Canis lupus familiaris: one gene and its partners. The protein of the gene in region 2 purifies or fractionates together with the protein of the main gene of each other region. This does not show direct contact. Links are inferred from orthologs where the notes say so. Each region holds a gene or a part of one and is shown on either strand. Other genes may lie near its edges.

The links. The genes of interacting proteins can lie anywhere in the genome.
Region 1: the proteins of MIA2 (region 2) and MIA3 purify together in Homo sapiens (affinity purification with western blotting; 6 studies listed by BioGRID and IntAct, counting the BioPlex papers as one, with this or other methods). This does not show direct contact. The link is inferred for Canis lupus familiaris from reciprocal best matches to the Homo sapiens genes MIA2 and MIA3.
Region 3: the proteins of MIA2 (region 2) and PREB purify together in Homo sapiens (affinity purification with western blotting; 3 studies listed by BioGRID and IntAct, with this or other methods). This does not show direct contact. The link is inferred for Canis lupus familiaris from reciprocal best matches to the Homo sapiens genes MIA2 and PREB.

What each region holds. Positions count from the first base shown.
Region 1 is NC_049259.1:17,574,175-17,578,370, reverse strand, and holds the start of MIA3 (transport and Golgi organization protein 1 homolog), read right to left. Parts: upstream 2,811-4,196; 5' UTR 2,706-2,810; coding exon 2,570-2,705; intron 850-2,569; coding exon 716-849; intron 1-715.
Region 2 is NC_049229.1:17,648,504-17,651,108, forward strand, and holds the end of MIA2 (melanoma inhibitory activity protein 2), read left to right. Parts: intron 1-228; coding exon 229-463; intron 464-1,534; coding exon 1,535-1,701; 3' UTR 1,702-2,102; downstream 2,103-2,605. UniProt on the Homo sapiens protein: Plays a role in the transport of cargos that are too large to fit into COPII-coated vesicles and require specific mechanisms to be incorporated into membrane-bound carriers and exported from the endoplasmic reticulum.
Region 3 is NC_049238.1:21,182,869-21,187,087, reverse strand, and holds the start of PREB (prolactin regulatory element-binding protein), read left to right. Parts: upstream 1-1,409; 5' UTR 1,410-1,667; coding exon 1,668-1,802; exon of another isoform or gene 1,803-2,406; coding exon 2,407-2,599; exon of another isoform or gene 2,600-2,787; coding exon 2,788-3,008; exon of another isoform or gene 3,009-3,195; coding exon 3,196-3,276; exon of another isoform or gene 3,277-3,375; coding exon 3,376-3,500; exon of another isoform or gene 3,501-3,685; coding exon 3,686-3,859; exon of another isoform or gene 3,860-4,002; coding exon 4,003-4,075; exon of another isoform or gene 4,076-4,219.

The DNA of each region.
Region 1 (4,196 bases), on a different chromosome or scaffold from region 2:
CTGCAGCTGCCTCTGCTTATGCTCTCTCTTTCTCTCTCTGTCAAATAAATAAAATCTTTAAAAAATAAAAAATCAGAGCCTGAGGATCATCAGTTTCCATGTCCACCATCAGGCCACCCATAAAACTGAAAGAGAGCAGCTCAGGGAGTCTCCAGGAGCAAGGGCCTGAGAGCAGGAAAAGGATGACCCAGAAGTTACAACCCAAACAAGGAAACAAAAAAACACACAGTGAAAAGGACATTTTGCTTTTTTAACAGACTAATAACAGTACCTATGATTAGGTAACTGTTTGCAGAGCTGCCAACCTTTCACAAATATTAATAGTTTAGAAAAAAATACATATACAATGAACTTTACACGTGAACACTTGAAACGTTGTCCTGCACAAAGTTGAGAGGAGGACCTCGAATGCTCACGAGCCCTTCTGTTGTGAAGCAACAAAGTCCAGGATTTTCAGGTTTTGCCACTACCACCTTTCCTATGTATGGAGCATACACGGCTGGTAAGGCCTGAACTTAATACTGAGAAGAATCAACCCCGAGCCATTCTGTTTTGTTTAAGGAACCGAGCAGAGCCTCTACCTGGTTCCAGGCCTGATGCCTGCTGGGGACACAGGAAGATGTCGCCATCAAAGAACCCAGGAAAACAGTTCCACCTACAGCACTAAACAAGCCAATACAAATAAGAAGATAAAGTGTGTCAAATTTGTACTTACACTTCCGGCCCAAACTTCAGGCGGTCTCCCTGCCAGTTTATAGTAGACATACACAGCATCACCTTTTTTAAAACTCACGAAACGACAATCTGGGCCTATAAAATCTTCTAGAGCCTCACCTCGGTACATTAACACTGCAGGTAAAGAAGGAGGGGGGAGAAAAACAGGTATCAGGATTCTACTTTCACAGTCCATATTGATTTTTCAGGAAAGAGGAGGGTTTCCTCTACTCTATAAACAACAACCAAGTTTCTCCAGTACTCTCTGGAATCAATCGCTTTCGATTCATATGCTCCAAGTATCTAAAATCTTTAGAGCTTTATCATTATATATTGTCCCCTACAAGTAGACAGGGGAGATGGCCACTTTGCCTGTATTTCTCTATGGATAAACCAAAAGCAATGAGTCCACCACTACACGTAGCTGGAGCTGGTCTCAGGAGAAACTCTTGGTTCTCTCTCTAACCTTCTTGTCCACAATCTCTGCTGTTCCATAATCATAAAAAGGTTCACGGTGCAATTGGATAAATTCAAGAGCAGATGCTGGCTGGCTTAAGCATGGCCGCATGAAGAGGCAACAGGGAACTGGGGAGAGCACCCAGGAACCCCCAAGGGGTCAATTAACTTCAACTAACACTAAAAGGCACTATCTTTAAGTGGCTATAACTGCTACCATGCAGCAGTAAACACTGTCAACTTCATTTGAGGCCACGCTGTGGCCTTCTTCCCTGTATAGTTATCTGGATAAATTAACGGGAAAGGACATCACATCCTATTAGTGATGAATAGTGATAATCACATATGATTATCCAATCATACGACAGGGTAATGTGAAATTATTATGAAAGCAGATAATGTTCACTGTCCCCAACACTATGAAGGTTTCAAAACGAAGGAAAGATCCCCTTTTTTTATGTTTATACACAAAATCACATGTGGGCATCACGTGTTGCAGGGACAAGCAAAACTAGGAGAATTGTTCAGTAGTTACCTTCAGTCTTAAAATGCAGGACTTATATCACACTTGATCTAGAAACTAGGGGAAGCAGCATTTCTCTGTTGGCCAAACACACAGTTTCTGATATAACATGAAACGGACAATAGATACAATTAAATAAGAGAGAAAATAAGGGTGACATTGAAAGTACATTTCTTCTTAAAGCCAGTCAGCCATAAGTACATTAAAATGTATTTCAGGTACATATTTGAGGGATGAACAGACAGACTGGCGGACAGTTTTTTGGATTTTTCAAGCTAAAATCAGATGACTTTAATACATGTCAGCATCCTAATTCAGATGTAATTGGGGAAAAGGCCAGGTTGAAGATGATGGACAATTTAAGACCCGGGATGCTATCAGAACTGGAAATGGCAATGCTGCTTTTGTTTCCCCCTTAGAAGAGATCACTGAAAAACTGTAACAATAAATTAGATGACAACACTGCCCGCTGTTGGAACAACTCTCTGAAAAGCACACAAGGACAGCTCACACCCACACACATACCCCTCACTGGATACTTTATGCAAAAGCACAGTCCCGGGCCCTGCTGGGCTGCCGCCTGTCGGGTTTGGGTTTTATCTGTTTGGACACTTCTCCTTCCCCAACTCCTGTGACAAGCAAGGGCCTTCTCAGGACCATGTCTCGGTACCGGTACTGGGGAAGCATCAAGGATGGGATCCTCCAGGTAACTGGTTCCTCCTTTGAGGAACCCAAGGAGGGGAGCGCTTGAAGGCAAAGAAGAGCAAACATGTCTCAACCCTGCCTGCTAAAAATCGGGATTTGCTCAGAGAAGCCCGAGGGGGAAAAGGCGTGGAAGACGCTCCACTTTGGTCGTGCGTCTTTGCCCTAGGTTACCTCTAGGAATGGCTTCACACGGATCAGATGCCTCCTCGCTTCCCGTGCACGGCGTGTTGCCGGGATACAAACTCTTCCAACTATGAAATCTGTTCTCGAATAGCACCAATTTGAATATGAATAAGCCAAACTCCATAGGCTGTAGGGCCTCTCCCGCAGGAGCAGTCTGCGAGGTGCACCGGCGGCCACTTAGGAACGCTCCCGCGCGCTCACCGTCAAGGTACAAGGTCACTCAAGACCCTCCGCGGGGCCCTAAGACCGATCCCGGTCCCGCAGACACAGAGGCAGGGGTCCCAGCACCGCGAGGCACCAAGGCCAAGGCCGGCGGGGCTCAGGGGCCCCCCGAGTGCCCCTCGCGGTCGCTCCCCGAATCCGGTCCGTGGGGCTCCGGAGCCGTCTGTCCCGCTCACCGCCCTCGGTCCATCCCCCACCCGCGGTCTAGGGCCGGGGCGCGATTCCGCTTCCTGCGCCAAGCGGAGGAGGCTGCCGGGCCCAGGTGGCCTCTGCGGGTTCTCGGCCTCTTCCGAGAGCCTCAGCTTTGGGCCTCCTGAGGGGCCCTCCCCGCCCGGCGGCCGCCAGGAGCCCTCCCGGCACAGACCGACAGGAGCGAGGCGGGGACCTCGGGCTCCCGGCTCGTCCCAGACCCAAGCTCCGACCCCGTCCAAAGGCGCTGCGAGCCCCCAACCGAGGGCAGCGGGAGGGCAGAGGGGGCAGCGCCCGCGCCCGCGCCCTCCCCGAGCGCCCCGCGGCCCGCAGGCTGCGCCCGACCCACCGCCCCGCGGAGCCCAGCGCGCGGCGCGCACCCCAACCGCCCGGTCTCCCCTCGGGGCCGGGCCGCCGCCCCCGCCCCCGCCCCGCCGGGCCAGCGGAGGGAGGGAAGCCCCCGCAACAAGTGGAGGCGCAGCCCCCGGCAGGGCCCGCGGCGCCCATCCCGGCCCGGCCGGCCTGCGCCCCCCGCGCCCGCGCCCCCCCCCCCGCCCGCCGCTCACTGCTGCACTCCTCGTCCGCGCACACTTTGTGCTCCGCGAAGCGCCGGCTCGCGTCCGCCCGCGCCTGGCCCCGCACCCGCCACGGCGGCCCGAGCAGCAGCAGCCAGAGGAGCAGCCCCGGCGCCGCAGCCATGTTGTGGTCACCGCGGGGAGCCGGCGGCGCCGAGGCCGAGGCGGAGGCGGAGGCGGAGGCGGAGGCGAGGCCGGGCGGGCGCGGCGGGCGGGGCCGGGGGCGGGGCGCGGCGGGGCGGGGCGCGGGAGGGCGCGGCGGGCCCCGCAGACACGTCAGCACCGCCTCGGCGGCGGCCCGGGGGCTCCGGGGAGGGGAGAGGGGAGGGGAGAGGGGAGGGGAGAGGGGAGGGGAGAGGGGAGGAGAGAGGGGAGGGGAGAGGGGAGGGAAGGGGACAGGGGAGGGAAGGGGGGCGCGCTCCCACCCGCGCCCCGACCCGCGCCTCCCCCGACCCGCGGCCCCGCGCGCCCTCGGTACCCGCGCCCCCCTGCTCCACCAGCGTCCCCGCGCGCCCTCGACCCGCGCCCCCGCGAGCCCTACGTGCCCTGCCCCCGCCCTCCGACCCGCACCCCCGCGCGCCCTCGGACCCAAGCCCCCCTGCTCCGACCCGCGCGCCCTCGCCCCCGGG
Region 2 (2,605 bases):
TAGCCAGAATATTACTTTGTTTTGGTTAAAGCTGTTTTCTTTTGGGTTAATATTTGTGATGAAAAAAAATCCATCTGACATAGAAAACAGAATCTTTCTCAGGAGACTATGAAGACTGTCACAGACTGCTTTCTGCCTAGGTGCTTTCTTCTAGACCTAAGATTTTCAGGAAGATTATTGCAAATTTTGCTGTTGTTTTAGTGACTACCATATGTCAATTTGTTATAGAATTTAAATGTGCCTGATTCATCTCTCCCTGCTGAAAGTGAAGCAACTGGCCCTGGCTTTGTTCCTCCATCTCTCGCTCCAATCAGGGGTCCATTGTTTCCGATGGATACAAGGGGCCCATTCATGAGAAGAGGTCCTCCTTTTCCTCCGCCTCCTCCAGGAAGCATGTATGGAGCTCCCCGAGATTATTTTCCACCAAGGGATTTCCCTGGCCCACCACATCCTCCATTTGCAAGTATGTTTTTCTTTTAAACTTAATATATGTTTTATAGAGTAAGTCAAAGATAGAATTCTATTTCTTATTCATATTGTACGTTTTTCTAGCTGTGAATATACCATTACTGTTACAAATTGGAAGGCAGCCAGCCATTAGTAGACCATAATATGGCTTCCACATTATTGATTCTAATGATATGGAATTACTTCTGTATTTCAGTAATCGGGAAAATCATTGGCTTTTTGCAGTAGTCTTCCATTAGGACCAAAATTATTTGTATCTTATTTGATTGGAAACTGGTTACTGTATCAGTTAATAAAAATAATTACAGCTTATATTTTAGCATTAAAACTACTGGCTGACGTATTTTTAAAATACTTTTTCATAAGTAGTTCCTATGTAATCCTACTTTTTTAAAACCTGAACTATGTTTATCATGTTTGGACTAATTGTTGAATTTATTGAAATTCTTTCATAGCCTCACATAAGAAAAAAAGAATGATTTTTTTGTTTTCTAGCTATATTTTGCCATTTAGAACTAGATGTTTCTGTAGAATAAATACATGGTTACCAAACACTAGGCAGAAGGCTATTATATGCCTGATGTGGTGTCTCTTCCTTCATTTCTCCTCTATTTTAAAGTTTAAGGTGAATTAAAATGAATTTGGGGGAATTTCAAGGTAGTCTTTGATAAACCTGTAAATGTCTTAGGATAATACCAAATTAGAATTGGGAATTACTGATCTGAATTTTAAGTCTGGTGAAAATTATACTACATGAAAAATTTAGAAAGTAAACCTCATATATTTTGGAATAATTCTCCTTTTTAAAAAGTGTTAAGATGTTAGGTTTTCATAGGATGAAAATTGTGTCTAAAATTAATGATATTCCCTTTAATCATAAGCAGTTGAAGAGAGTATGCTTTTTTTCTATGCTGTAAAAATTCATTTGTTTGATCAAGTAATTATACTGATGTCAGTTTTGGAATATAAAGATAGGTGTACTCTAAGTTATAAACTAATCGTTTGTTAGAACTGCAGTACAGGTACTTAAAGTTAAAAAATGTTTTTTACCAATCTCTTTGAACAGTGAGAAATGTCTATCCACCGAGAGGTTTTCCTCATTATCTTCCCCCAAGAGCTGGATTTTTTCCCCCACCCCCACATCCTGAAAGTAGAAGTGAGTTCCCATCAGGGTTGATACCACCTTCAAATGAACCTACTACTGAACATCCAGAACCACAACAAGAAACTTGACAATATTTTTGATCTCTCTTCGAAAGTAATTTTGACTTCTCTCTCATTTTCAGTTTAAGTAACTGCTGTTACTTAAGTAATTCTACTTTCGCTCAAATTGAAGCTTAATGGAATTATAATTCTCAGGATAGTATTTTGTAAATAAAGATGATTTAAATATGAATCTTACGAGTAAATTATTTCCATTTTATTTTATTGTAGATAGTATAATTATTTTAATTTGATTAACAAATCCACTATCACATAAATAACAATGGGAGTTTTATATATGTAATCTTGCAGTTGGGGATGTTTTAAACTCCGAAGGCTGTGTCTTTTTGCCAAGAGCTGTATCTACTATGGTTGTAGACAAATGTGAAAGTAACTTTATGCATAATTAAATAAATTTTAATTGACTTAAAGACTTGTTTGGTATTGATGATAATAATAAATCAGCTAGTTTTCTGTAAATATGTCTCCATTAGTTAGTTTTTTACTTTTCCCAATAGTTTTGAGGCTCAAAACTAAAGCTTTATCTGGGCTTTTCCCATTCGATTATCTTTCCAAGAGTGTGCCCTCTTTCTTGCAAGTGGAGATGAATGATCAAAAGCAACATTGATTTTATTTATTTATTTATTTATTTATTTATTTATTTATTTATTTGCAACATTGATTTTAAAGAAAACCAGGATATTGTTTAAATGGTAATTTTTCAGTTTCGATCTTTTTTAGTTCATTCGCTAGCTTTTCTGGCTTGCTTTTCTCTTAATTTGCAAGACATTTACTGTTTTTTAGTGGGGACTGTTGAAATTTACTACAGGAATACTGGATTTGGCCTCAATATCTTTAGAATGTTTTCTTCAGCCTAAGCTGTTTCCTCAAGTTTGTATTCTATTATCATTAGTCTTCTTGCACATTAGTATGA
Region 3 (4,219 bases), on a different chromosome or scaffold from region 2:
CCCAGGATCGAATCCTACGCCGGGCTCCCGGTGCATGGAGCCTGCTTCTCCCTCTGCCTGTGTCTCTGCCTCTCTCTCTCTCTCTCTCTATGTGTGTGACTATCATAAATAAATAAAAATTAAAAAAAAATATTTAAAAAAACAGCCCACACCAAAGAGCCTTTAAAAACCCCTAGATTTAAACACCAAAATGGCAACCCTCTCGGGTCCCCTCCTTCTTTGGGAGCTCTGTACTATTGCTCAATAAACTTTGCTGCCCACCACTCTTCATTCTTCTAAGCGGTGTGATCAAGAACAGGAAGAAATCCTACAACATAGTGTCCTGCTGAGCAGACACTGGTTCTGTGGGTAGCTGAACCCACAAGAGGCCACAACTAAGCAAGGGGAGGGGGAGAGTCAAAGGGAACAGAGTGGCCAGGACAGTAGGTGCCACATACCTGAGGAGGGTGTGGGATCCATAAGGCCTGAGCACCTGAGCTGTGCCGAGGGCTCTGTGAGGCCCTTCACACAGTTGATTCAGTTTGGTAGGACAGATGATGGCATCCCCAAAGACGAAGCCACTGGGCCCCTTCCTCCCAGCGCACTTTAGGTTAATAAGCATGCTGACTCAGGCAGCCGGGGATGCAGCAGGAGGGGTCTCCTTGAAGGAATGGACATTCCTAGAGTACACTTGCAGAGAAACTTTAAGAGTCTTCATGTTGAAGATCAGAAACCCAAGGGTTTCCCTCAGGAAAGTGGGAATGCCAGGCAGAAAAGACACTTGCCCTGCCTGGGAGCCAAGCTGCCTCCCTCTGAGGGTGTCGGCAGGGAGCAGCCTCCACTCCCAAACCCCTGAGTGCAAGGGCAGTGTGCAGAGCTGCAAGACTGGCCCAGTCTCACATCTGCCAACCACAGACCATAGATGTTTTGCTATGTAAATAGAGGCCTCCTCAAACTAGCAATCAGTGGATTGAGGATTTGAAGCCAGTTTTGAAGTCCACACTGCCTCCATTAAAAGGGAAAAGACACAGTTCATGTTCCTAAATGTTGGATTTCCAAGGTGTGTCGCAGCCCTTAACCAAGGATTCTTTTTTTTTAAGATTTTTATTTTTAAGTCATCCAACCTGAGGCTCAAATCTCTAATCCTGGGCTCAAGAGTGACATGCTCTACCAAATGAGCCAGCCAAGAGCCCCCACGGATTTCTTCACTTAAAGGTTCATCAGCCTCCCTTCGTTGTCATTAGCTCCCTTCCTTCGCCTCCCGCGGAAGGCCCGAGCCCCGCCCCTTGGAGGCGGCGTATGCCGCTCCTCCCCGCGCAAACATGGCGGGGGCTGACGTCACAAGGGGGACGGAATCCTGGGGCGGGCGCTCCAACAGCGGCCCGCTAGTGCTGACGCGTATCGGCGGCCCTGCGCCTGCGCACGGAGAGCGCGGGCTAGGCGCGCGTGCGCACTGCGCGACAGCCCGAACTGGCTGGTTGGGGGGGCGGAGAGACTGATCCCCGAGTGTCGTTTTGGCAAGTCTCTGGGTTGGAGTTTTGGCAACTCCGAGGGGTGTGGGAGAGGAGCTGGGGATCCTCCTGGCGGCCACCGGACCAGGTTAAATAGCGGCCGGGACAGTGGTCGAAAGCCGGGCGCGGCATGTCCCTGGTGCCGCGGTGCTTAGAGTGAAGCGCGTGGCGATCAGGATGGGCCGGCGCCGGGCGCCAGAGCTGTACCGGGCCCCGTTCCCGTTGTACGCGCTTCAGGTCGACCCCAGCACGGGGCTGCTCATTGCTGCAGGAGGAGGAGGCGCTGCCAAGACGGGCATAAAGAATGGCGTGGTGAGAGCTCAGGGTCACGGGGGCCGGGTCACGCCATGGGCGATGGTGGTAGGTGGTCTCGGGGATGGCCGCGCCTCGAGCTTCAGACCTTGCCCCTCCCGGGTGGGAAGGCCCGGGATTTTCCGGCGCCTAGCGCGAATTTCAGCTGAGAACTTACCAGGAACTCCAAAGTTAGACTAAAAACAGTACACAGCGCCGCTTAAGCAGGAACTTAGGGTTCACCTGAACCTCAGGAGCAGCTCCAGGGGCCATCTCCTGATCTTTTCTGGGGAGGCCGCAAAGACTTGTCCCGCTGCTCTCCAGCAGCGGCAAGAGTGCTGCCTTTTGCCTTTAGGCTAGGTTTCCTCACTCCTCTGAGGGTCACTCTGTTATTTTGTAAACTGGAGGTATTAATCCCCACCCTGCCTGCTGTACAAATTTGTGCGGTTTGAAAGAAAAAAAGGGAAAGCAGCAAGCAGGCTGGAAAAAAAACTTTTTAAAGTAGAAAGTGCGGTAACCAAAGGGGTAGGGCGTTAGACTATAGGATGTAAGCTCGCCCTTGGCAAACTTGAGGTGCTCTCCGGGCAGCCCTGAACTTTGTTCATCCTGGTTCCCTCTTCCACAGCACTTTCTACAGCTAGAGCAGATTAATGGGCGCCTTAGTGCCTCCTTGCTACACTCCCATGACACAGAGACACGGGCTACCATGAACTTGGCTCTGGCTGGTAACATCCTTGCTGCAGGGCAGGATGCCCACTGTCAGCTCCTGCGCTTCCAGACCCACCAGCAGAAGGGCAAAACCAAGGTAGAGAAGGCAGGTGAGAAGCTCCCTCATTAGCTTTGGGGAAAGGATTGAATGCATAAGGTCATTTACTTTGGTTTCTAAAAAAGTGGGGCTGGAAGTGGGTTATGGTAGCAGGCAAGAAGCTGGATGTTCACTACTAGGGAAGGGGTCGGTACTACTTACTATAGGAGCCTGGAACCTGGCAGGCTCTTTTTATTGCAGGTTCCAAGGAGCAGGGGCCTCGACAGAGGAAGGGGGCAGCCCCAGTAGAGAAGAAGCCTGGAGCTGAAACCCACCAGGAGGGGATAGAGCTGAGCGTAGAGAATTTGAAAGCCGTGCAGACAGACTTCAGCCCTGATCCGTTTCAGAAAGTTGTATGCTTCAACCACGATAACACACTGCTTGCCACTGGAGGGACAGATGGCTACGTTCGTATCTGGAAGGTGTGGTTTCGGGGATTAGGGAATCAGTGGTTGGTACCAGCAAGGCCAGAATTGTGAGAAACTAAACATGGGTTCTGGGAAACAATGTGAGCAAAGCCTGCACTGAGTGGCAGAAAAAAGGAGGGGTAGGGGATGCTTGCACTCTTACCAGATACCTGGGGTAACCATGGTGATGGTTTGGCTGCAGGTACCCAGCCTAGAGAAAGTTCTGGAGTTCAGAGCCCACGAAGGAGAGATTGAGGACCTGGCTTTGGGGCCTGATGGCAAGGTGAGGAAGTGAGAAGGTGGAGAAAGTAGGGGATTATGCTGCTTGTCCCATAAGTGGATCCCCTAACTGTCCATCCTTGGAATCTTGATTCCTGACTAGTTGGTAACTGTGGGCTGGGACCTTAAGGCCTCCGTGTGGCAGAAGGATCAGCTGGTGACACAGCTGCACTGGCAAGAGAATGGACCCACCTTTTCTAACACGCCTTACCGCTACCAGGCCTGCAGGTGTGAGACCCCAGAGGGTAGCTAAAAGAGGCACAGCCTAGATGTGGTGGGGGAGTGGAAAAAGACTGGGGGGAAGCTGGGAAGGATTGTAGCCTTGGTGGCTTGGCAGGGGATAGGAGGGCACAAACCTCTGGGAAGGGCTGGGCTGGCCCTGGGAACTGAACAGCTTCTCCCCCGGCCCCCAGGTTTGGGCACGTTCCAGACCAACCTACCAGGCTGCGACTCTTCACGGTACAGATTCCCCACAAGCGTCTGCGCCAGCCCCCACCCTGCTACCTCACAGCCTGGGATGGCTCCACCTTCTTGCCCCTTCGCACCAAGTCCTGTGGTCATGAAGTCATCTCCTGCCTTAGTGTCAGGTGTGAGACAGTGGTGGCTTGACCGGTTGCGGGGTGCCTGGGGGAGCTCGGGAAGGTGTCTGGTCTGAGGCTCTGAAGACCACTCTTCGTGAATGTTGCCGCACAGGCCTCCAGAACAGTGAACACTTTATTGTTTGTTGCAGTGAATCAGGCACCTTCCTAGGCCTGGGCACAGTCACCGGCTCTGTTGCCATCTACATAGCTTTCTCTCTCCAGGTAATGGGTAGAGGTGGTCATGGCCCTGAGGGCTCTTTGGGGTGGGGACTGTAGGCCTGCTTCAATCTAAGCAGGAAGGAGACCCAACTCATAGAGGGAAAGCCATCTGAGGATAGGGAGCATGTTTTCCAGAAGGAATGTTTC